Linked DNA regions of Drosophila melanogaster. The protein of the gene in region 3 interacts with the protein of the main gene of each other region in a pairwise test. Each region holds a gene or a part of one and is shown on either strand. Other genes may lie near its edges. The genes, in order: CG16787, Myo95E and CG9184.

Region 1 (8,178 bases), on a different chromosome or scaffold from region 3:
GACATGGCCTTTGACAGGGAGAGTGAGTACAGGACGAAGGCAGCTGCCAGGTGGGAGGCCAATCTATACTGGGATACCCGTGGCACGTCGTTGGGATCCTGGAACCTGTCTTCCAGCCCGGACTTGACCATGTACCATCCCATCAGACCTTGCAGGCCAATCAGTGTGCCCAGCAGCAGGACGCTCTTCTTGGTCTTCGCACAGAAGTATCCCTTTCTCCAGAAGTAAACAGCGGGCAAAAGGAAGAACCCGCCGATGGCACGACCCCACATCCTGTGCATGTACTCCATCATGAAAATGAACTTGAACTCCTCCACGGTCATATTCACATTCTTTCTGAAAGCAGAAGTTTGCATGTAGTTCCTGGCGTTGGATGAATCTGGGGAGTACTCACAGCTTGTACTCTGGGTATTGCTGGTAGAGATTGAACTCCTGCACCCATTCCTCCTGGGTTCGGGGCATACGTTCACCCGTCAGCTTCCAAGTGACCATGGACAGTCCGGACTCTGTCAGTCGGGTTACTCCGCCTGGAAGAGATTCACTTTCGCAAGGAACTACAAACTTTACATTTTGTTATTGGTTACCTAGACCAACGGCCACGAAGACCATGCCGCTGACTCCCAGGAACCATCTTCCGACGGTCTTGTCGCTTTTCGGAGTGCTGATGGGCTTTATCACTGGGATTTCCTGAAAGGTGCGGCATTAACAAATATTACTTTATAAATAAAAACATATTTTTATATGTAATCAGTGGGATATTAATGCAACCTTTATCGCTGTTTGCGCAATCGTCTGGTGAAGTCGGGGGCCGGGTACTACTAGCTTTATGAGATTGGTTCTCTTCTGGAGCAATCGCAGCATTGTGTTATTTCAAGTTTGGAGAGATTAACTTAAGCTTACAGCAAATATTAAAGGATATATTTTGTTTTTTAACTATATTTACAAAGCCGCTACCAAGTGTGACCGCAGCAGTGGGGTATGCGCATATACTAAAATCATTTTGAAAAGTACCGGCGAATGTTATCGACTCGATAGCCTGGCCACATTATATCAGTTTTGTTAATAAAAACAACTTTTGCGGCTTCTGATTTACAATTTCGCCAAATAAAATGGAAACAATATTGAACACGCAGTTCGATCAGCTGCAAAAGGCCATAGAGGGAATTAAGGAGGCGAAGAGCAAGGTAAGTCCGATTTCCGTGCCAGAGTACAGCTCTAAATCCGTCCACATCCGTCACGAGCAGGGGCAATCGACGGATGAGGCTCGCATTGCCACCACCTTGATGTTCGTGGCTCTGAAGCACGCCAACCGCGAGGTGAAGCACAAGATCAAAGCGGGGCGCGACAAGCTGCACCTGGAAAAGTGCAAGGTGGACCTCAGCCGGCTGCAGCTGCAGAATCTTCTGTACGAAGTGAGCCACCTGAAGAAGGAGATTGTGCGCTGCCAGAAGTTCAAGAGCAGGGACACCAGCTTGGAGCTGCTCTCGGAAGCCGAGTACTCCAGCGAGCTGCCAGACATGCCCAACGACGCGGAGGAGCTGTCCAGCCACAAGCAGCACCTTCATCGCCTCGACTGCGAGCTGCGTCTGCGGAAGGCACTCGACAAGCAGTACAGCGCCCTGCTGAGCTCCAAGCAGGAACTGCTCCAGGACAATCTTAGCCACGCCCAGCGGTACGTCTCCTTCGCACCCGCCTTGCGCACTCTGCAGAGCGCCACAAAGCCGCTGCACGATGCACTCCAGCTATCCCTGGACGTGGAATGGAAGCTAAGCGCAGTGGTCAAGTACCTGCCCAAGCCGCTCTACGTTTTGTTCATTGTCCTGCAATCGCTGCAGCGGGTCAGCGAGGAGCAGTCCTTCACCGCCGAGGTGGTTGGCTATGAGAGCGAGGCTCAAATGCAGGAGTTGCTTAAGGAGAAAAAGTGCTCCACATTGAACTACAGACAGACTAAAAAGGAAAGTGGAGACCGGGAAAAGATTGCCGATAAAAACAACTTGGACGACTCACTCGCTCCTCACCCACTACACATTTGTTTGACGGTAGGATGACATGGTTTGCTCATTCCAAAACATTTATTAACCTAAACTTTAAAGATTGGAGCGGCTGGATCGAATCAGCTCGTTTTGCAGATTCGCTACTTTGATTTTATCAAGTGTGCCACTGTCTGGGGCCAACTTAACTGCTCCAGGAATGCCAACGGCCAGGGGTAAGTTTGGAACACACCTAGGAAAAAATCGCATAAATAACTAGGCATTTTTTCACAGTGACACAAACTTTGTTCACCACCTATTGCGGCATTTGTACCCCAATGACTTGGGCAATGAATTACCCATTCCGGGAATCCAATACGAGGTAAGAACTTCCTTATCCAACGTTGGACAACCAATTAAATTACGCTCTTTCAGCTACGAAGCTCGGATTTAACAGCCGAGGAATGTGTGCGCTACCTCAAGGCCAAGGACTACGGAAAACCCTTCTGTTGGCTGCAAAGTATGTGCTCGATTGCAACCGTCAACAGTTCGATGCTGTACAAACACGAACTGAACTTGAATAAGAACAACAAGGAGATTATTGACCGCATTGCCAGGCGCTTGAACTCTTGGCAGCGTTTAAGCCAGCAGATTCGCGGGCTGACCTTCAAGGATATCGATTTGTATAGCTTGCAGGAGAACATCTATCCAGCCGGCCTGTCGTGCAGTCTCGTCCAATGGACTGCCATCACACATGAGGAGCTTCACTCGCAAATTTCAGACGCACTGAATTCTTCGTCAGCGGACAAGGGTATTACGTACAACTCTTACCGCGCTGTCATCGTCCGGGGATCGGCCAAAATGGAGTGCTTTATTAGAATACCGAGTAACTATCCACTGGAAATGCCTCTATGGATTCTGAATGTGCACTGGAACGGATGCCTTACCGCGCAAAACAATTCGGCGATCAAGGTTTGAACTTATTCAGGTATTATCCTCCAATTAGCTTTTAAACTTGTATTCCTCAGATGATGGAGTTCTGGACCAACTCCCTGCAGCCCAAACATTTGGAGCCCAACGACTGCATCCTGTACGCGCAGCTCTTCCGCACCATCTACAGCTTCGATATATTCCTCGAAACCGAGGGATCCATGCAAAACACCATTGAGTACAACAAGGAGAAGCCTTACATAAGCGCCTTCGCCAAGCGGAGCCGCTCACGCCCCTACAAATACATCAAGAAGGGATCGGTCTACGCGTTCAAGCAGTGACAGTTGAATAACGAATGTTGTACAACACAATGCGCCAATGCGGTTACTAAACGTTCTCACAGTTGCGTTTATTACGATTAGTAATACAATAAATAAGTAACATTTAAAGCTAGCTAGCTACGACTTCATTGGCAGTTGATCTTCTGGGAAGAGGTCGCTGCCAAGGATCCGGGAGGTAGTGCCGTCGCAGAAGGGTTCTCAACCGCCTCCCGACTCTCGTCCGGCATCACTTTGTCCACGACGTGCTTGACGATCAGCCCATCGTCGCCCAGATAGCAGACAGAGTAGCCGTCGTACCAGGCCTCCTGATCCTTCAGCACCTCCTTCAGTTGCCAGAGCTTGTACTTCCAGAACTGGAACATGACCTTCAGGCCGGAAATGCCGCGCACTCGCCACCTTATCCGCACTGTGTAGTCGTCCTGGTGCTTCGTGATCTTGAGCACCTCGAATTTCACGTAGGCGTACTTCAGGTGGCCAACCGTTCGCAGGATGGCGATCTGTTTGACGTAGTGGTACAGGCCCACCGTGTGCTTGCCCGTTATGTTGTTGTGGAAGATTAGGCCCGGGCTGTAAATGGAGTAGTCTAGGGGCTCCACGAACAGCTTTGGTAGCGTGGTCCTCAGAACCTCGTAGGCTCTATCCAGGTCCTCGGGCTTACGCTCGTTCTCCTTAGGGTTCCCGGGCAGCCTCTCCGCTTTGGTGCTCTCGTAGGCCCTTCGACTTTGCTGGAGGTTATTGGCGGCATGGCTGTTTAACAACTTTTGTGGACACTTCGCCGGCGCAGACGCACTTAGCCGCATGGCGGACGCCCACGCCCGCTCCTTGGAGCACCAGTTGGCCATCCAGCTGCTCCTTCTTATTGATGAAATCCCGAAATTTCGCAACATCTTGCAAGGACTTTGTGTGCTACTTCCTTCACCGGAACTGGGTTTCCTCGATTCAGATCTGCCTCGTCTGCAGATCACACCATTCAAATTGAACTTAGATCCTGGCTATTTTTCGTTTGCGGCCCTCAGGAATTTGACGTGCTCGTGTTTAGGTAACAACATTTGGAAATAAAATACTCGGCAAAAATCATATGGTCGTTGGGCTGCAGTGTGGCCAGACTGTGTGTAATGTCCCAATAGCTGCGAGTGCCAGTGTGGATGTTAGGGGAACTCCCGTTGTCCAGGGTTGTCATGCCGGATTAGTTTCACAAATTAACTTCCGCAACCGGAAGTCATGAAAATGGAAAATATAACTTATTTGGTTTGAATTTAGTGTTTCAAGCTTATTACATGAAATATGTTGTCTCTTTTTTGAAGTGCAATAATCTCAAACACTTTTCATTTATGTAAGTACATGGTTTTGGAGTTGCCTTATGCGGTTTTCTTGGTTGTTCTTCTGATAAATGTTTGGTACCTCAACAAGCATCGAATCCAGGCACTCGCATCCGCATCGAATCCCACAGGAGGCGTTTGACGAGAAACTGTTGCACTTTACAGTACTAAATGGTTTTGTGCGCAGACTTGCTGCGCAGACCAATTTGTTACAAGCTCGAATCACACACAAATCTGGGGGCATACACATATATCTGTCTGCAGGTAAACACGTTGTTTACAGCCACCCAGCTATATAACACTAATTTGAGCTGAGGAGCTTTCGCTGGCTGAAAAATCGACTTTTATTTGAGCTTAAACCCATAGAGCCTCGTACTATGACGCGCTAATCGGTGACCGTATTATTGAGTGCCAAATTCTCGACTTAGTTGCAATGTCTACTCGACTCTGCTAGCCCTAGTATTGAGAAAAATCAATAGGAAGTAAATAAAAATGCTGCATGCCTGAAACTCGCTTTGCGGATACTCTTAAACTACGTATAATCAATTTTTCTATCGGTAACCGAGCTATCCAAAATGTACGGAATCACTCAATCAACTGTTAACGTAAGTACCCAACCGGCTGTCCGGGATAACTTTCCGTTCTAGTCCTCAGCGATTATTGATTGGCCTTGAAACCCAACCAACTGCCAATGTGGGCTCTCCTTCCCCTCTCCAGAATCAACGCTTTCGAGTTCGTGATATGGATAACGAGCAGATCATGTCCACTTTTGGGAACATAGGTCACCTGCTGAACATTGCCGTGGAGCGATTTATAACCATTGGCGAGATCATCGCCGAGGAGAATATTGACATCAAGGGAGACATGTACGAGGCGGCGAAGGAGGCCAGAGATGCGGGTAAGAAGACATCCTTTCCAGCCTGGTACATCCTTTTCATTGTATTTTGTTGTACGATAGGAAAATCGATTGAACGACTTTGTGATATTTCACCTCTAAGCGGCATGGAGCTGCGCCACCACATCGAGCCCCTTAAGGACTATGGAGCCATCATTTTGGCGGCCCGCTCCCTGCTGTCGTCCGTCACGCGCATCCTACTGCTGGTCGACATCATAGTTGTGAAGAAGCTGCTGACCGCCAAGAAGCGGGCCTCCGAGAGCCTGGAGAAGCTGGAGTCGGTCATGAACTTCACGGAATTCGTGCGCGCCTTCTCCGTGTTCGGAACCGAGATGATTGAGCTGGCCTACCTCACGGGCCACCACCGCAACTCCTTCAAGGAGGAGCGACGGCGGGCGCAGATGTTCTCGGCCCGCCAGATACTGGAGAAGTCCATCGCCATCCTGTTGACGTCCTCGAAGAACAGCCTGATCCACAGCGACTGCGTGATCGTGAAGGAGAACCGGGACACTGTGTTCTGCCAGATCCGCAGGGCCATGGACCTCATCCATTTCGTGGTGAAGGACAGCATCTTCGACACGGCCAAGCACATGCCGTTCGAGAAGCAGGCGAGCAACCCGAACTACGAGAACGAGAGCATCTACACGACAATAAAGCGCATTGTGAACCTCATCAAGCGGTACAAGTACCAGATGAGCTACTACGAGGGCTCTGGCGAGGGCAACAACAACTCCGACGCCTACTTCAGTTTCCTGGACGATGACCTGTGGAAGTCGGAGAAGAACCTGCCCTCCGCGGCGGGCGGCGGCCGCATGGTGAACAACACGAACTTCAGGAAGCACCTCAGCTCCGAGAGCCTGGACCTGCGCGAGGAGCTCTCGCTCGCCTTCGAGAAGCTGTTCGAGAAGGCACACGACTTCACCGACTCCCCCTACATCAGCCACAACCATCGGAAGAACATCCTCTCCTACTGCGACAACTGCAAGCTGGAGTTCGACCTCTACCTGAACACCATCATGAAGGATCAGCACGAGGGTGGCGGTGGAGCCGGTGGAGTTGGAGGAGTGGGCGGAGGCCAGGTGAAGGGTCGGTCAGATCCCGAACTGGGTATGCTGAGCAGCCTGGAGGAGCTGTGCAAGCAGTTGGTCGTCTCCGTGTCCAGCCAGATCGAGGATTTCAACGAGTCGCTCAAGATCTGCTCCAAGCTGGTCAAGTCGTTCCACGTACTGGCAACGAACTACGACATCGACAATCTGAACCAGCGCTCCTCGAAGTTCCACGACTGCTGCGATCACATCTTCGACATCTGCAAGCTGCTGCAGCACATTGCGCCCACGGAGCGGCTGCAGGTGCAGGCCAAGTGCCTGGCGATCAACCTGCGGATCTACGGGCCGCAGGTCTTCATCGCGGCCAAAATCCTGTGGAAGTACTCCAACAGCAGTGCGGCCAACGAGAACTTCGAGTCCTTCTCGGACATGTGGAAGTGGCTGACGAACGAGATCTCCATGATCGCCAAGAAGATCCTCGTCTCGATCAACACCACCAAGGGTGACAGAGATGCTGATGCTGAGGTGGGTTGCTGCCCAGAGTGGGCGAGGTAATCACTAACTTACTTCCGATCTTCCCCAGAAATGCGAAAGCTCCTCAGACAAACTAACAAAATCCGGTGTACCTGCAACAGAAGACGGAGAAATGGTTGAGTATTCTGGCCTCGAAGGCAAGAACAACGGAGATCTGAACACATATCAATCAAAATGGAGCGAAGACTTGTCGGACGACAACGACATACTGAAGAGAGCCAAGAACATGTCCGCGATGGCTTTCCTAATGTATCAGTTTACCAAGGGCAACGGTTCTCTAAGAACAACTCAGGATTTGTTTACTCAAGCCGAATATTTTGCGGAGGAGGCCAATCGACTTTACAAAGTCCTCCGCCACTTTTCATACCAGGTAATTATCGGTTGATAATGGGCATCCGTGTCGCTAACTCTGCGCTTGTTTAGGTTCCCGCCAGTGACAACAAAAAGGATCTCCTCAACATTTTAGATAGAGTGCCGACTTTTGTCCAAGCACTCCAGTTTACAGTCAAAGACCACACGGTTGGTAAAGCCGCCACCTTCGTGAAGGTCGATCACGTCATCAGGGAAACCAAGAACCTTATGAACGTTATAAACAAAGTAGTGTCGAAGTGCTTTGAGTGCGCAACTAAGGTAAATAGGCCGAGGCAGGCCCACGCGGCCATTTCCTATATGTAGTGGATGATACTACAGACTTTCTCAATGTGTATGATTTCTATAGTTTACTGTGATATTAAAGCATGCATTATTACAGGTATGATTTTAGAGCTTTCGTTTGTTGCCAGGGGCGCAGGAGAAGCCTTTTGGTTTTTGAGGATGTGCTTCAATCCCCGTTTCTAAACTCTCAATCTTATTAGTTACATCTCTTACTTTCGACTTTGCTAATGTAGATGGCGCTGTATCTTAATCTTAATCGCTAACTTTTGTATTTCACGCATGTATGTACATATGTATCTTGATGTATTGAGTTTTGAGTTGAGTTGAGTTGATAGCTTGATAAGATCCCCCATCGTGTGTTTATCTAACCCAACTGTGACCTTTAACCAACAATTGGTTTTGGCCACTCATAAGCTGCAGTGCCAGCTCCTCTACGAACTCCATCCTAATCCTAATCCCCTTGCTCCGCCTTGCAGTACAAACTAAATT
Region 2 (8,613 bases), on a different chromosome or scaffold from region 3:
TTGCTCAATTACATACTGAAAGCACATGGAATTGCTGCCGGTGGTCATAAAGTTGGGATGCCCCGCACAACATTGCTGAACTCGCAAAAGCAAAGCGTCGTTGCTATTTAAATGGGGTTCATTAATCAAGCTCAATATACCATAGCTGGGTTTGTCTATTAACTCGCAAATAGACTCGTTGTCGAAATAGTCAATGCGAGACCATTCCAATCCCTCGCGAATATAGAGCTCTTGCTCCGAACGCAGCACATGAAACACAAAATTCTGAAATGGGAGAAGGATTAAATTACAATATTAAAGACCTTTAATTTAAGACAATGTAATTTTCATTAACTAAAGTGGATGAGTCATGTGTACTTGCCTGGTGGATCTTTTCCGCGCTGTAGTTAATGGCAAATTGCTCAAATGAGTTGTGGTCCAGCGCTTCGAATCCATAAAAATCTAGCAATGCTAGGTTCTTTTCGCGCTGTGTTGACTTCAGGGACTCATTAATTTTGTTCACCAGCCACGTGAAGAGACGGCTATAAAGAGTGCGACACAGCGTGTTTCGGTTGGTAGCTGCTTGTCGTGCATCCATTTCGCAACCCACATCCTCTTGAGCGCTGTTCGTGCTATTCGCTCTGGTTAAGCAATTTATGAGAATTTGGGCTTCCATATTAAGAAGCTGTGCTGTTTCTTGAACTTCTGTAAATGGAATATATTATAAATTATGTTGCCGGTAATATAATAAACTTAATAAACATACCGTATACATTGGACACCTGACAACCCTCAGTTCCATCAATGTTAGTAATGGGTACGAAAATAAAGTTACCCAACTTTAGAACCACTGCGATGACCCGAAAGATGGAGTTGCTCTCTTCACAACTAAGTCCCAGCACATCCAAGGATCGCTGGAATAGAAGTGAAACCCATCGGTTATTTGTTCACTTATATAATAATCCGGTTAAGATCTAACCTTCGTATAATGAAAATTCATGCGGTCCTCCTCCATGGCAGTTGTGTTGCGGAGCAGCTCGTACTTTTCCACATTTCGATACAGCTTGAGCGATTCTAAGAAGATAGCAATAGCATTTAGCAGGTAGCATTTAAAACGAGTGAAACATCTTACTTAGCAACTGGAGATCAGCTCCTAATAGTAATTGGTAAAAGATGTGAAAATTTCGCTCTCCAATGATAGGGTCCGTTATACGGGTCTGCAAACAGATGAAATATTAGACATAATAACTAAACTAAGTTAATTAAAATTATCAATCAAACCTTTTCCAACATATCTTAGAAGTACGCACGAATTAAATAAATGTCAGAATACATATTTATAATTAATAGGTGGAGTTTTACTTACAATGGGTAATGTGCACTCCCATTGGATCTCCCTTAAAATCAATTTCGATATCAAATAGCTTTCCCTGAAATCAAAAAACAATAGAAAATTAAAATTAAAGTCATATTTAAGTTATCTCTGTAAAAGTGCGGAGGTATTCTTGCACATTTCAGTACATACACATTTCACTTACATATCGACTAGAGTTATTATTTTTCAGGGTGCAGGCATTGCCCATGGCCTCCAGGAACACATCCGCACAGGTGACGCACTCTCGCATTCGTTGCGTGGGCGATTTATGACGCCTGTGCAGCGAAGAGCTGGCCGATGGCGTGGGCGAAACAGAACTAGGCGGAGGCGGCGGCAGATCGCCCAGAACCTTACTCAGCTTGTGTGCATCGTACAGCGATATACGTTGCGTGGACCCCATAAGGGAGCTTCGATCCCGCTCCCGCTCCGGCTGACTCTCTGTCGAGTGCTGGCGCATCAGGTTGGAGCAACTACCGCGATGCGGATGTGCCGGATTGGTGGTGGCAGTGGCTATGGTAGACAGGCGGCAGTTGCTGCCTCGTAGATCATCCCGCTCCTCCTTTTCCAGGCTCTGAGCACGGACACACTTGCTGTGTCCGCACTGGCGGCAACCGCCGTACACGGTGGGTACCGCGTATTTGGGCGATCCCTTGGCTGCTGCGGGCATTGCAGTGCAGGCGCTGACTTGGGTCTGCTGGTGCTTGAAGCACGACTTGGTCGGATGCATGTGGTGGGCGTGCGATTCAGGAAGGCCGCTGATGTTTTCGCTACTCTTGTGGTGTGAGAAATCAAAGTCGACAATTTTCTCCCGCATGTGGCGCCTGCTTTGGCGCTCGATGCTCTCGGCCCGCGTCCGCGATCGCTGCGATGGTCCTGGCGATGGACTTTGTCGCCGTGAAACACTGCCTGACGGATTTTCCGCCCGGTTTTTGCATATAATAAAATTGGCAGTGCCGGAGCAGCTGCTGGAGGCTCGCCTGTGGGCGTGCATCACCAATCCGCTGGCCGAGCTAGTTGAGGATTGCTTGCGCAAAACATTCGGTGTTGGGGGGCAGTGGGAGCGATCTTGTATGTGGGTCAGAAAGTTCACGATCATTTTAAAAGTCTCCGTTTTGCCCGCTCCGCTCTCACCGGTGAGCAGAACACACTGATCCTCGCTCTGATCTTTGAGCGATTGATAAGCCAGATTTGTGAGACCATATCTGATGAAAAAAAGTTGTATAAGTAAAGATAATGGGCCAGCCTCCTAAATGATATCTTACATGTGGGGCGGCAGCTGGAAAATGCCCTTATCGCCATAGTTGCGGACATTGTCCAGAGAGTGCTCGGATATGTGATGATATGGATTCAGAGCCACAACAGATGTTCCAATGTAGGTCTGGAAATGAATATATACGGAAATGTATAGAAATCTGAAGAGTGTAGAACTGTACGGACTCACATATATGTGATCGCGCTTATAGCGCTGGTGGATGTTGTTTATGAAACTATCCTCGGACAGGTTCTCCAACAGTACCGAGTCCCAGGTGCCGATTTCCTGCTCCATCGCGATTCCCAGCTCCAATTACAACGTGCACGGCAGTAGTGACAACAACGACAACGGCCAAAATCGAGTTCACCATTTGAATTTGAATACATCAACTGCAAACGGGGCCAAAACAAGAACGGGAACGATGGGAAGGGTAAGGGGGGTTGTTAATGGCTCCAACAATTGCATAATTTATCGCGGGCCTGCATGCATCTGGGCGAATCCGTGTTTTGATTTTCTGATTCAATTATTGATTTTCATGTGCTGGCGAGCAACAGCCTCGAGCTCGTGTTCACTCATATATTCCGGATAGATAGAGTCCGGCTTCTAATATCCGTGACAACAGGACTCCCGACTGCCCTTCTACGCCTTCGTTTTTAGCGTATTATTGTCTTTATTCGCAACGATTTGCACATTTTGTTTACCTTTTCAGAAAAGACATTTTTGCATCCAGTGGGTACTAGTGGTGGCCCAGCCATCGACGACCATATCGATATAGTCTCTGAGCCACCAATCGATTCGCATACCCTACAAAGATTATTATATCTAATTTTAATAGTTTTAAAATAACAATTAATTTTATATTAAATTGAATGGTTTATTAATATCTGTTATATTTAAAAGGCTATTATTTTACTAGACTTAAGCTCTCAAAATGGTTTTAAAATTATAGTATAAACATTGCTAGGGTGTTACCAGCGTCGGTAATCGAAGCTGGTTATTCTTCGCGGTGGGTTTGCCATCCCTATTGTTAGGATAATAAACGCAAAAATTACCATGAATACTGACGAGCGAAACTTCAGGTCCATCTACTATGAAAAATGCCAAATAAACAGCGTCGAGGAACAAAAGTCGCTGAACAAACTACTACAGGATGACATCCGCAACCTGAGCAAGCTGAAACAATTCTGCATGAACTACACAGTGCCGAACAACAATAGGAGCTATCTGTGGGCCCTGGTCATGGGTATTCTCCCGCTCCACAAAGCGTCCACGGCGTACGTACGCGACCAAAGACGCGAAATGTACGAGGATCTGCGGCGAGCGGTAACCGTGCTCCGGTTTACCGACCATAAGCAGAAGGAGCAGCCCTTCATGTGGCTGATAGACCATAAGAAGAAAGCACAGGTCATGCACACCATGTGGCTGATAGAGTCCAATCGACTGTGGCATGGCAATACTAGTGCCAGTCTCCAGGCGGACGACATGCACTTCATAGAGATTGTGCGCACGTTGCTGCAGATATTCGACGACAACGTGGAAACCTACTGGATAGCAAAGGGATTCTACAAGTACACCCGCGAACTGAAGAAGGAGTGCGTCAAGCTGAAGGAGCAAACGCAGAATATACTGAAGCGCGAAGATTTGTCCTTGCTTAAGTGAGTTTGCATATGGTTAGTCGGGTTATTTGACCAATTTTCTTCGATTACTCCTTATAGTCACCTGGAGCTTCTGGGCCTGTTTGATGGCAACTCAACGCTACTGGATAACTGGTATATAACCTGCTTTGCTGGAATAATCTGTACAACTCATTTGGTCAAGATATGGGACAAAGTCTGTGGAGGGTCCCGGAAGATTGTTGTTTTCCTGTTTGTAGAACTAGTTAAGGACATAAGGTCCTCGATACTAAAGCAAACATCTTTAGCAGACGTCAAAAGACTTATAGAAACGGTAAGTAAATAAGGAAACCATTTGCTAAGCCATAACTTATCCAAAATTTGCCTTAGGTAAAGGATCTTGACGGTGTTATTATCGTAAACAAGGCCATCAAATCACTACAAAACAACAGCAGCGAAGTCGAGTACACGCACTAAGTAAATCTACACTTTTATATTGGACATGTATATAGCAGAATGAACTAAATGTATTTGAAGACCACGTCCTTTTTATCGCCCACCGTTTGCAGTTCCAAGGTCACTGGACACTGCATCCAATAGGAGAGCAGCTCCTCCGTGTAACCAATAAGGAAGTACATTTTTCGCGGTGTAATCGCCTGCCGAATAAGGGCCGCGATCCTAATGGTGTTGTGCTGTCGCTTGATAATGACCTCGGAGCAGACGAGGGCATGCCATGTGCCGGTGACAAACTTGCGGATGAACACATCCTCTATGGCGGTCTGGGACGGACGCAGGGCATCCTTCATTGTTGCTAAGATAGAAGGTGGCCATCAAAATGCTTCCTTAATAAAATTTTCTCACAACTTACACGTGTTCCATGAGTTCCACGATTTGCGGTGGCCAATAAAATGCGGCGGATTGGCCATCTCGTAGGTAAGAGGCCTGTTTCGCTTTGTGGTTATGCGGTATCGCCCGGATTGCACGCGACAGCACACGGAGCTGGTGTGGAATCCTGACCGGCTGAGCTGCTGCACCTCGGTCGCCACCTGGGGCAACAGCTGCAATAGATTAGGTTATTTTAATATATAATTTGTCCTGTTTGTTGTTATTTAACACACCTTTTTCAAGAAGTTCATTATTTTGCGGCAGAAACAATTTTGCGTCCAGCAACAGCTGATTGACGTGACGTAACGGTTCGCTAGAGATGGACAAATTTATAGATAAGTATTCGATATTATTATTGTGTAGTGAAAATATTTTCTATAAAATAAAAAACAACATTGAAGGAAGTAGTTAAATAAAAACACAGAAAGATTAATTTTTAGTTGTGTAAATGCCCTTTTTAGTTCTTAAATGCAATACTTGGATCTCTATTGCATTGATTAAAATCGATTTTTATTTTGTTTTAAAGCGGGGCAGAGTTGTCAACAGTTGTCGGTGGGAAAATGTAATAATGTAATGTAATAAAATTATTGCACGCTTATTTAAAATATATAAATAAACAACATTTTGAGAGCTTCCTTAATAAATAGAGTTAACTTTGTATTAATCCCTTTATTCGAAAGAACTTTGACTGATCATTGAACTTGGGCAGAACTAGCTATAAATTAGCTTAATCGGTAGCACTGGAGCGCTGAGCCTGCGCGCTTGGAAAATGGCTTAAACGCAGGCCATCTCAAACAAAGATCGAGGATCTCAGATCAGAAGGAACTACCTGTTGAAGCGACCGTGCAACAGGACTCATCCAGAAGCAAAGCTGCAAAGGTTTATTCCCAGAATCCCTGGTATCCGAATGCACTAATAGGTGAGGATACATTCAAAGTAATGACGCTGAACGAGAGCGACGCTACTCGCCTGGAGCTGACGCGCAACTTCCTGGAACTGTCTCGAAATCCGGAAACATGCACCGCCCTGCGCAGCTCGGACTGTATCCAGCTTCTGGTGCAGATTCTGCACGCCAACGACGAAGGCCTCTCCACGGCGAAAAAGTACGCCAGCCAGGCGCTGCACAACATCGTCCACAATAATCCGGAGGAGAAGGAGCGCCAGCGGGAGGTGAAGATGCTGCGCCTGCTGGACCAGATCCTCGACTACTGTAACTTTCTGCACACCCAGTTGCAGAGCGGCGGTGAGGCTATCGCAGATGATGAAGATCGTCATCCGCTGGCGGCTATGAAGCTCCTGATGAAAGCCAGTTTCGACGAGGAGCACCGCCAGACTATGTGCGAACTGGGAGCCCTCAAGGCGATTCCCAATTTGGTCCACCTTGATCATGCGGTCCATGGACCGGCTGCCGGTAGGGAACAGTGCAACGCCCTCAGGAGCTACGGCCTCATGGCCCTCACGAATCTCACCTTCGGAGACGAGAACGTCCATAACAAATCGTATCTGTGCGGTCAGCGACAGTTCATGGAAGTGGTCATTGCTCAATTGAACACGGCTCCGGATGAACTGCTACAGGTGAGTTTAATCTTGGAGATTAAGAAAAAAAGATCGTAATTTAATTACCGTTGATCTCATCAGGTTCTTGCTGGTGTGCTTCGCAATCTTTCGTGGCGCGCGGACAAACACATGAAGACTATCTTTAACGAGCTGGGTACTGTGACCTCCTTGGCTCGAGCAGCCATGCAAAACAAGAACGAGAACACTCTCAAGGCCATACTTTCAGCCCTTTGGAATCTCTCAGCGCACTGCAGCACCAACAAGGCGGAGTTTTGTGCAGTAGACGGAGCACTGGCATTTTTGGTCGGAATGCTTAGCTACGAGGGTCCGAGTAAAACTCTTAAGATCATCGAAAATGCAGGCGGCATTCTTCGAAATGTATCGAGCCATATTGCGGTGTGTGAGCCGTACCGACAAATCCTAAGACGGTACAATTGCCTTGCCATTCTGTTGCAACAGTTGAAATCGGAGAGCCTAACCGTGGTAAGCAACTCCTGCGGAACTCTGTGGAATCTCTCGGCGCGCTGTCCCGAGGACCAGCAATACCTCATTGACCACAATGCCATCCCGCTCTTGCGGGCCCTAATCAGCTCCAAGAACTCCATGATTGCGGAGGGCAGTGCCTCGGCTTTGAAAAACCTAGTTAATTTCAGGGCCACTCAGGAGCTTATGCCCAATGGAGATGGTGGGTCACTGCCACTAGACAAGGAAGCTGGCCATGGAGGTACGCTGCCACGGAGATTCAGCTCACTGCGCCTAAGCTCAAATCCCACGGGATCGCTTAAGAAAGTGCGACCCTCAACAGTCAGCACAACTGGCTTTCTGAACAGAAAATGTGAGAGCCGAGAGTCCATTTACTCGGGCAAATCCGATTCCACTAAATACTCAACCAAGTCGGAGGGAGCGAAGAATCCCTTCGAAATTGTGACACCCACTGAAGAGCAGCCCATTGACTACTCCATGAAGTACATGGAGCACAAACCCAATAGCAGTAAGACCTTTGAGATCGACTTGGATCAGCCAACGGATTTCAGTGCTAGATATAAGGAGAGACGATCCGCTCAGACGGCACAGCCGGAGCTGAAGTCGGAGACCAATGAGATTAGAAGTAAGGAGTTGCAACTGACAAAGTCCTCCTCGGCCACGGAGCTGCGCAATAGTCCTGGCCTGGTGGCGGTTTCAGCAGCTAAGCAGAAAATTGCCACCGAAACGGAGACGGAAACGGCAGAGCGACCAATAAACTACTGTGAAGAAGGGACTCCCGGCAGCTTCAGTCGCTTCGACTCGCTCAACAGCCTCACAGAGAAACCGGAGAAATGTATGCCGCCAAAAACTCCAACGAAAACTGCGGTTCTCCCGGTGCACGTTGACGGAAATACGCCTCAAAACATCGATTCCGCACTAGAAACTCCATTAATGTTTTCGCGTCGCAGCTCTATGGACTCATTGGTTGGCGACGACGAAACGGTTGCCTGCGAGGACAATGGATCCGTGATCAGTGAATACAGCCGGATGCAGAGTGGTGTTATTTCCCCCTCAGAGCTGCCCGATTCACCCACCCAGAGTATGCCTCAATCTCCGAGAAGGGACAGAAAAGTGTCCACTCAAAATAACTTGGACACACCTGAACAGAAGCCCAGTACTGTGTTTGAGGACAAGTTGAACAGATTCCACGTGGAGCACACGCCTGCTGCCTTCTCCTGCGCCACCAGTCTAAGTAATCTGAGCATGATGGACGACTCTAATGCAAACGCTATTCGAGGACAGCGTGGAAATGACATCAACGGCAATGGGGATGCTCCTCGCAGCTATTGCACAGAGGACACTACTGCCGTGCTTTCCAAAGCGCCAAGCAATAGTGATCTGTCCATTTTGTCCATCCCGAATGATCTAAATGCGAATGAAGCGCAGCCAGTGCCTGCTCCGCGAGCTGATGTTACCGGAATGGACAC
Region 3 (8,244 bases):
CGCTCGCCTCCCATTTGAGCCACCACTCGCGACTTTTCCAGCAGATAGTTTAGGATGTTGCCTCCGATCGGAGCTCCTTTGAAATCGAACTGGATGTCCATGTACTTGCCGAACCGCGAGGAGTTGTCATTGCGGTTTGTCTTGGCATTGCCGAAGGCCTCCAGCACGGGATTGCTCTTTAGCAGCTTGTCCTTGACGCCCTCGACGGTCGTCTGGTTGCCGGAGCAGGCGGCTATGAACTGCAGCACCTTCTTGGAGGCCTCTGTCTTGCCGGAACCACTCTCTCCGGAGATGAGCACGCACTGGCCGCGGTTCTCCTCGATCAGCGAACGGAAGGCGTTGTCAGTCACCGCAAAGCTGGACAGGAATGCTCATTATTTGGTGGTTCAATGCAACTTGGTCTTGAGACTCACATGTGTGGGGGCATCTCGTAGAAGTGCTTGTTTCTGTACGCCTTGACATGGTCATCGGTGTAGATGGGCAGCTGCTTGTAGGGATTCACGGAGATCAACACCTGGCCAATGTAGGTCTGCGAAAGGGGATATCGTTATCATTATTTTGACCTATCTTCTTTAACTATTTTTACTCACATAGATCAGGTCCTCCTGGAACCGCTTCTTCAGATTCCCGATGAAGGCTTCTTCGCTCTGGTAGTTCTCGAGGAGCACAAAGTCCTGGACTCCAGCACGATCACGCTCGTGCAGGCCCGTCTCCATTTTCAGTTGGGAATTAAAACTAAAGCAAAGAAAGGGGTTCACATAAGCATCAAAATGATTCCTTAAATACAGATCCCACAGAAACGATTGGTGCTTGCTTCATTGTTAATTTTTCAACTTCCTAAGAAAATCCTCTTCATAGGTCTTATCTTTGACGAACCTAATCGGACTGCCCAGCTGAAAGGGTTGCCATGTTTAACCACCTTGATTAGGAAAAACCTCTTGAAAACCAATTCAGAAAAGCCCCATAGAAAGCCGAAACCCCAAAGATAAGATTTTCGCTATTCGACAATATTTTATAACAGTCCTGCGGAAATGAATCAGGCAAATGATAGTGACTCGTGAATGTGGATATTGTTGATCAATTCCAAATGATCTCATCAGACATATCCAATATAATATTCTATATGAGTCCCAATGCAAATACCCAATCTGGGGTATTTATAGATCCATAGAAGTAATGGTGGGCAGGTGCAATTCACCTTATCAATGCCATATTTCATGGGGCCAAGGGAAGTGGGCAAGTGGTAAGAGTTTGCTTTATTGGACGACTGCTCCAGTTCTGCTGATACGCGGCGGGTAAAACCATAAAAGAAACGATTATGCAATGGATTTGTGACTGGTAGGATTTCTAAGATTCCTAAGAAATGCTGGTCATATAACTGTGGGATTATCCAAGGACACTTCACTAGGTCACTGAGTAAACAATTGCACATCTCTAGATGGATTCTCTTCAAATCACGCTTCTTCTACCTGGCCATGTTTGTTCGATTCTTCTTGTTCCACAACACTACTGCACAAACACCACTGATAGCTCCAATTGATGATTCTCTGGAGGATGTGTCAGATTCCGCGCATATTCCGCCCTTTGACGGCTCCGTTGGCAAACTAAACCGATCCGCTGGCAGTTGAGGCGTTTTAACCATCAATACTTCTCCTCTCCACATATCAATTGGCCTCGTCGGAATTTGTGTTGTTCTTTTTTTTTAGTCGGCACATTTATCAACGATAATATACCTATGACTGCGATGAGGAGGGCAATGCCGCCAATCAGTCCCCGATTAGATAGTGCCTTTCGCGAATAAACTCGGGACCCGATTTAGGAGACCATGACAGAAACGCAGCGCACCAAAGAATTCCGGATCGGCTGTATTCCGGAGTTCCAAGTACCTGAGATCACGATACGTCTTTTTCGCATGCGTCAATCCTAAAGATATATGCGTTCCCATCTCCCATCATTCCGAGCAACCCAATGTTTTCAGTTGATTCATAATGTGGTTCCTCCTAGCTACGCGAACCAGTTTCTTGGTTTTTAGATAACTAATCAAGAATTATTCTATATGATTTATAATCTATTCACTTTCTTTATCTTAGCACTGCTTACTCTATGTAGTCCTTAGTATCCATTATTGCGAAGATCAAGGATTTGATTTCAATGTACATAAGGAATTCCTTTACTTAGTTCTTGCTCCACAATTAGCTAATTTCATAAACTTGCTTCTCCAAAATGTAAATTATAACTTAATGCTTTCAAGATTTCTAGATGACTGCCGCGCTTTCGGGACATTTCTGAGTGAGTCAGAGCTCGAAACTCACAACCCCGACTCAGAAAAGTGCTCCAGCTCACATTAGCACTGTGTTATCAGCTATCAGTGTGCTAAATAATAAGTCATTGCCGAATGAAAACATTGTAAGTACACACACTAGATTGCAATTGCCTCCACCGCCACTATTGTGTGTTTCCATCCACTCTGCGCCACTTGGAAGGGGATTTGCTGTGTGGAACTGGAACGAATGCCTGACTAATTGCGAAATGTTTGCCGGGAAGACTTCCCAGGAATTCTCGAAGAGACCGGCAGACACGTCCCAGTCGTTGGAGCCGAGCTCGCCGTGATTCGATGTTTGTCACATAATTGTTTAATTGCACGTAGGGCAGATGGAAGTGGATATCGATCATGTCGAAAACCATATACGAATACATCACCCAATGGGCACAGCCATTTGCAGTCATTCTGCAATCACTTTAGCACTTTTGACAAACCAACCATCGCCTAAGATTATGCTACGTCTATTTAAGGAATCCACAAGTTGGAGGGCAGGTGAGTGCAGATCTCATGGAACTGTTTGGGATCCAATTGACACGAGTATATGTTGTATGATAAGAGAGTTGCCAAAGTTGACTGGGTGGCGGGGCAAGCCTCTACAGATACTTTCATGATTAGATAAACTAGCTGGGGGATATAAAATGAATTAAACTGTAAATATTAATGAGTGTGTAGTCATTATAATTATACTTTGCTCAATATCCCTGCAATAACACGGTTTCTCCCTACTATGAAGTCATTGACTTTCTGTTCCCTGGGGGCGTTGCTTTTGTCGGCTTGATCCACTCTTTCTTTAATCCCCATTCAGCGGTCTAATAGAGTGGGGAACTGGTTTCCCGATCCAGAAATACTCCAACGGGTGATGTAACAGAGAACTCCACATTTTGTTGTATCAGACGACTCGTAAACATGTCTACGACACACGACCTATAACGGAACCCAAAAACCATGAGTCCCACCCAAACGAAAAAGTTCCTAACCCATTAATCGCACACCGAAAGAAATAGTCGAGCATTAAGAATAGGAAACCAAGAGGCAGAGGCTGATTTGCTTTGTAGCGAGATGGAGAAATACATTCGTAAAAAGTAAAGATAAGTTCTAAAGACGGAAACTCAACGATAATACAATAAGTTCAAGGGCACATATTTCCAAAAAATTTGTTGCCAACTCAAGAGCTTTGCTGAATATTTTTTTGTTCAGTGGCATGACCAACCTTCATCTGCATTCAAATGTCGTCATATATCAAGCAGCAATATCGCGGGATATTGAACTCTTCGAATTCATTTGGAAAAATGCAGGGCTGGCAGAACGATCATGGAAGTGGAATGAGAAGTGGAAAGATCCCACAAAGCCCCTACAAGCATTTATATCATATGCAAATTAATGAGCGCAGTTATTAGAACGGTGCTTGATCGATCCGAGATCGAGATCGAGTTCGAGCTGGAGCTGGAGCTGGGGATGGAGATGGAGATGGACACAGAAGAAAGAAAGGCATCCCAAATTTGGGCCACTGCATGGGTTATTCTAATGAGGAAACCGGGAACGAGATCCCACACATCTCATCACAGATGCACCGCGTATAAAAGGGCAATGCAACTGGAGTGGTCAGGTTATTCCGAGAGAGATCATGGATCGGAGAGTGACTGCGATTGGTTTGGGTGAGTACGGACGATCGGCTGCCTAGAAAGAGTGACACATCCTTTTCAGTTATCCTGCAGCTGCTGGTCAGCGGCCTCTGTTTCCAGGAGAAGGCGCCACTGCAGACGAGCCTGGTCAGCGGACAGGCCAGGACCGAAAAGCAGCAACAGGTGCTGGACGATCCGCTGGGAAGTGGACGCGGGATTGACGAGCACCTGCTGAAGACCATTGGTAAGGGCGGCATCAAGCTGGTGATGGCCTCGGGAGCCCCGTCGACCACCCCGAAACCGTCAGTACAACACCATTACTATTATCCACCAGAGGATCAGCAGCACCCACGGCAGTATGGCTATCCACCGCAGTGGTCGCCAGGACCGCCCGCTTATCCGCCGCCACCGCAGCGTCCTTGGGGGCCACCCCCTCCGCCCGGACCACCGCCGCCAGGACCTCCTCCTCCGCCGGGACCCTACTACAATCCCTACTACAATGGCTACAACTACTACGGCGGATATGGCGGCTATGGATATGGGGGCTTTGGATATCCCGGCTTTGGCGGCTATTCTGGCTATCCCTACTATCCCTTCTATCGCTCCTCGACGGCTGGCGAGGTCGATAACCAACTTCCCGGTGCCGATGGACTCACTTCCGCCGCCATTCCTGGCGTTTTCCAGGGCAGGGCCGTGCTGTCCCACCAGAACTTCCTCGACGGCAGGAACAACGCTAACGTTGTGCCACTTTATCACCTACTCCAAATGGCCAGGGCTTGAAGTACTCTAATCCAATCATTGATTAAAACTTAATAAATTGTGTACCATGTATATTCCGAGTAACCGCGTGATGCATTGTAGTTCTTACTTATCATCGCATGCGTTCTAGTTTATAGCCCTATTCAATATCTAATCGATTCTGACTGGATAAATGTTTAAAGAAATCGTCCAACTGAAAGCCCATAATAGTAGAAACAGAATTGCAGAAAGGAGAAAGGCAGAAGGTGTTTCTATTAATCCACTCGAGATTGACGATTACTTAAACCCTGATAATAGCTTTGCCAGATCATCCAACTGAATGGATCGTTAGATTATAAAGAACCCAGTTGAGGCCGCTGACCGAGAGTAAAGATGATCGAATTCGTTCAAACGATCGTCATCATCGTCATTTCTCGCACCCGCAAAGACTGGAAATTCAAATTCAAACTGGGCAAACTTATCGAGCCGGTTGCAAATACATATGTATATAAGAGAATCTGGACGCTCGGTTGCTGAGTCACCCGCTTTTAGGGACGAGTCTTCTGGGCACGAGGAGATCTCGAGGAGATCACGCCGCCATTGTGACGCATGCCAAGTGCCTGGGTCTCGGTCTCGGATAACCATTAAGTATTAAACAATCACTGGGGCCCGCTGTTTTCTTAGCTCACTGCGAGCCATAAAAAGCGTCAACAGCTGAGGCCGATCTTGAACGCGATTTACTGCCAATTGCAAAAAAAAAAGAAAAAATCTGCTGAAAGAGCTGCCCAAAAGCGTTTCGTTTTGTTTCGTTTTTGCCTTTCCTACTGTTTTGGCCGCTTCAAAACAGACTTTTTGCTCGTACTCACGTCGAATAAGAGTTTGGAGTTTGGGATTGGGGCTTCCACGAAAAGCCCTTACTTGGCACTTTACCGAACCTGAGCAAATCCGAGGTGCGATGTAATGGTGATCCCAACACGAGCTCACTCAAGCTCACTCCTCCGTCGAAAGAAATGGAATGGAGTGGAAGTGCTGGCTCCGTGTTCTTGGTTCCTCGCCAGTCGAACTTTATGACTAGTGGGGATTTTTGCTATAATTGTACTTGTGCCATACAATTGATTGAATGGGGCATATTGCCACATGGCCAATTACCGCTTTATTAAGGTGGATCAGCAGTTTCTCAGCCAGGATACTACAGATAATAGTAGAATGCCGTCAATATTTGTAATTTAAAAGGTGAAAATGAATCGTAACTTCTTTAAGAGATCGTATCTTATACATCTTTAAAGAACAATGTCTGAATGAATCCATTCACTAGGTAAGACCAGGTCATTCTCTACTCTTCCAAGTGACACATCTGCCCATTCATAAAAGAGGGCATACCAATTGTCGACCAGACCTCCACATCTTTCGTGGAAAAGCGATGTGCTTCGATGGACGTTTACGACAATCGCTTGTGGTCTTTTGTCGATTCAACTTAATTTTCGTATCTTATCTTATTAGACATTAATTAATGTCATAATGCAGCTGGCTAAGAAGAGGTAAAAGCACCCTGTATGTACATATGTAGAGCGTACACGATCAATATCATATCAGTAAAACTGGTTGAACCCAGCGAGAAGATAACGCCACCGATTCCGATAAGAGAAAGTTCAAGTTTGTCATCAGGCCGCGATTTCGAAATTTTTTCAGGTGGGTGCGGGTCGCCGTTTCCCCTAGACACCAGGTTATGCTATATTTCGAATATTCCGTGGACTCCATAGAGTCAAATGGGCACATGACAAGGCTGGGCGATAATAAATATCGCAATTACCCGAACCAAAAGGCGTGCAATTTTATTTCCTTCTCCGGTTCTTCGTTTGTTCTCTTGGCCTCTGGGTTTGTTTGCCAAACGGTTAGTTCGCAGAAAGTTGGCATTACATCATTACCAAAATTCGGGTTTTCGTGATACGCTTGGTTTTCCAATTCGTTTCTTTTGGGTGCCAAGTGTGAGGCAATGACATTGGGGGCAATGCTTTGTGCACTCGAAAAAAGGTGTTCTACAATCGCCTCTAGTCTAGCTTCAATACCATTAAGTACTTTAAAAGTGAGCAGATCCCAGATATTTTAAGACTACAGGTAGGTATTTGACAATATTATTATATTGTTGCGAGCTTGTATTTGAACAGCTGCCAGATTTGGCGAATCATTCGGTTTCGTTTTCGATCCATTGCAGTTGGTTATTTTTAAGCGGCTTATTGCCGCTGTTTTCAAAACTGGGTCAAATTAATGGAGGGCCGTCGCAGTGTGGAAACGAAATTGAAATTTGATACAATTTCAATTGGTCAGCGAGTAGGCAAGCGGAGCAAGGGGATACATCCCCGCCAGCTATATCCACCGATTACTCATGTCTCCCCCATAGCCAAACACATACGCCCTGTTGACCCTCTTTGTGTGCCCCGCCTGTTTGTTCCTGCTATAAAACCTGGGCAAACAAGCTCATCCCCGGGGAGCGAGGGACAGGTGAACCCCCCCAGCCAGTTTACAAATATCCTCGCAGACGATGTGTGGAGTGAAGACCCAGGAAGCGAACGGAGGAGCGAGCGAAGCGGCGAAATTGAGGTGCCGGTGCCTAAACGCTCGCTTTATTAGAGGAGCATCACAATAAACCAGATCTCTTCGATTGCGGTGGCTGCTGCACTGGGAGAATCATCTTCCCATATTATTTATTATTTCAAAGAACCGATCATGAAAAAGCACCCTTGATTATCATTGAAAGTTGTTAGGAAAGTTAGAAACTGCGTAAACCATTTGCATTTATGAGTTAAACTAATCCTTGAGGAAACGTTTCTCGCAGTGCATTCCTGCTTTTGTTGCTCTTTTGTGCCGCCGCTGTGGCTTTTGTTGCGTTTGGTGTCCAAGTTCAAATCGTGCAAAGGAAAGAAAGCAGCGGAAGACGCTGCACAGATCACGACCACGGGCAAACCGGCAGAACCGCTTTTTTCGTATTTTTTCTTTGCTAACTTTTTTTTTTGAGTTATACACTCATGTGCGCGGCATGGTATCGCTGGATTTTGTGGCCCGGACATTTGTTAGCTGTCAGGATATGCAAAAGTTGCGATGGTAATTGATTTTGTAGGCCAGCTCGCCTCGTTCGCGGCATATAAAGCGAATTAAGAAGTTTGAGATGGACAAGCGACCAGGATGGCACACATGTAATTGCAAACTGGGGGCCTAAGTACCCATAATTTCACAAACTGTCGCCCGAAGTCGTTACTTTTTTGTGGTCGCAGTGCTCTACCTGTTTGAATTTCTTTTCCGATGCGGGTACCGTTAGCTTGACCCGGTAAAGGTGACGTTTGGACAACGTTTGTTGTAAGCGAATTGGTGTTGGTGGATAATTTGAAGAAGCGGGGCTAGGACGGCATATATGCGCGCAGTTTTCGAAATCGGTCGGTTGGTTAATGTCAAGCACCGCACGCCCAGCGCATGCAAATGAGCGTCCGAAAAAGTTCTCGGCGGCGAATGAAGAAATTAACGAACGAAATCCGCACGCGGCCGCGCACCTTGCCAAAGTTGAAGTTG

What was found.
Region 1: the proteins of CG9184 (region 3) and CG16787 interact in a two-hybrid assay, tested with the Drosophila melanogaster proteins (one large-scale study listed by BioGRID).
Region 2: the proteins of CG9184 (region 3) and Myo95E interact in a two-hybrid assay, tested with the Drosophila melanogaster proteins (one large-scale study listed by BioGRID).

Annotation. Positions count from the first base shown.
Region 1 is NT_033778.4:23,953,055-23,961,232, forward strand, and holds CG16787 (uncharacterized protein), read right to left. Parts: upstream 4,352-8,178; 5' UTR 4,129-4,351; coding exon 3,367-4,128; 3' UTR 3,281-3,366; downstream 1-3,280. Other genes in the region: CG3803 (uncharacterized protein), read right to left, coding at 1-336, 395-527, 585-687, 769-861; thoc5, read left to right, coding at 1,110-1,184, 1,245-2,039, 2,094-2,206, 2,265-2,352, 2,406-2,942, 2,999-3,241; alpha-Catr (alpha-catenin related), read left to right, coding at 5,136-5,165, 5,278-5,458, 5,519-7,026, 7,085-7,405, 7,459-7,665, 8,166-8,178.
Region 2 is NT_033777.3:24,158,131-24,166,743, forward strand, and holds the start of Myo95E (myosin 95E), read right to left. Parts: upstream 3,160-8,613; 5' UTR 2,901-3,159; coding exon 2,796-2,900; intron 2,733-2,795; coding exon 2,617-2,732; intron 2,557-2,616; coding exon 1,518-2,556; intron 1,410-1,517; coding exon 1,346-1,409; intron 1,275-1,345; coding exon 1,261-1,274; intron 1,197-1,260; coding exon 1,112-1,196; intron 1,054-1,111; coding exon 959-1,053; intron 894-958; coding exon 746-893; intron 685-745; coding exon 362-684; intron 265-361; coding exon 17-264; intron 1-16. Other genes in the region: TBC1d7 (TBC1 domain family member 7), read left to right, coding at 3,660-4,261, 4,322-4,553, 4,610-4,696; mRpS24 (mitochondrial ribosomal protein S24), read right to left, coding at 4,741-5,030, 5,088-5,277, 5,338-5,355; Apc2 (adenomatous polyposis coli 2), read left to right, coding at 6,044-6,679, 6,743-8,613.
Region 3 is NT_037436.4:1,318,486-1,326,729, reverse strand, and holds CG9184 (uncharacterized protein), read left to right. Parts: upstream 1-3,923; 5' UTR 3,924-3,947; coding exon 3,948-3,978; intron 3,979-4,027; coding exon 4,028-4,725; 3' UTR 4,726-4,938; downstream 4,939-8,244. Other genes in the region: Myo61F (myosin 61F), read right to left, coding at 1-357, 414-529, 591-735, 2,101-2,159.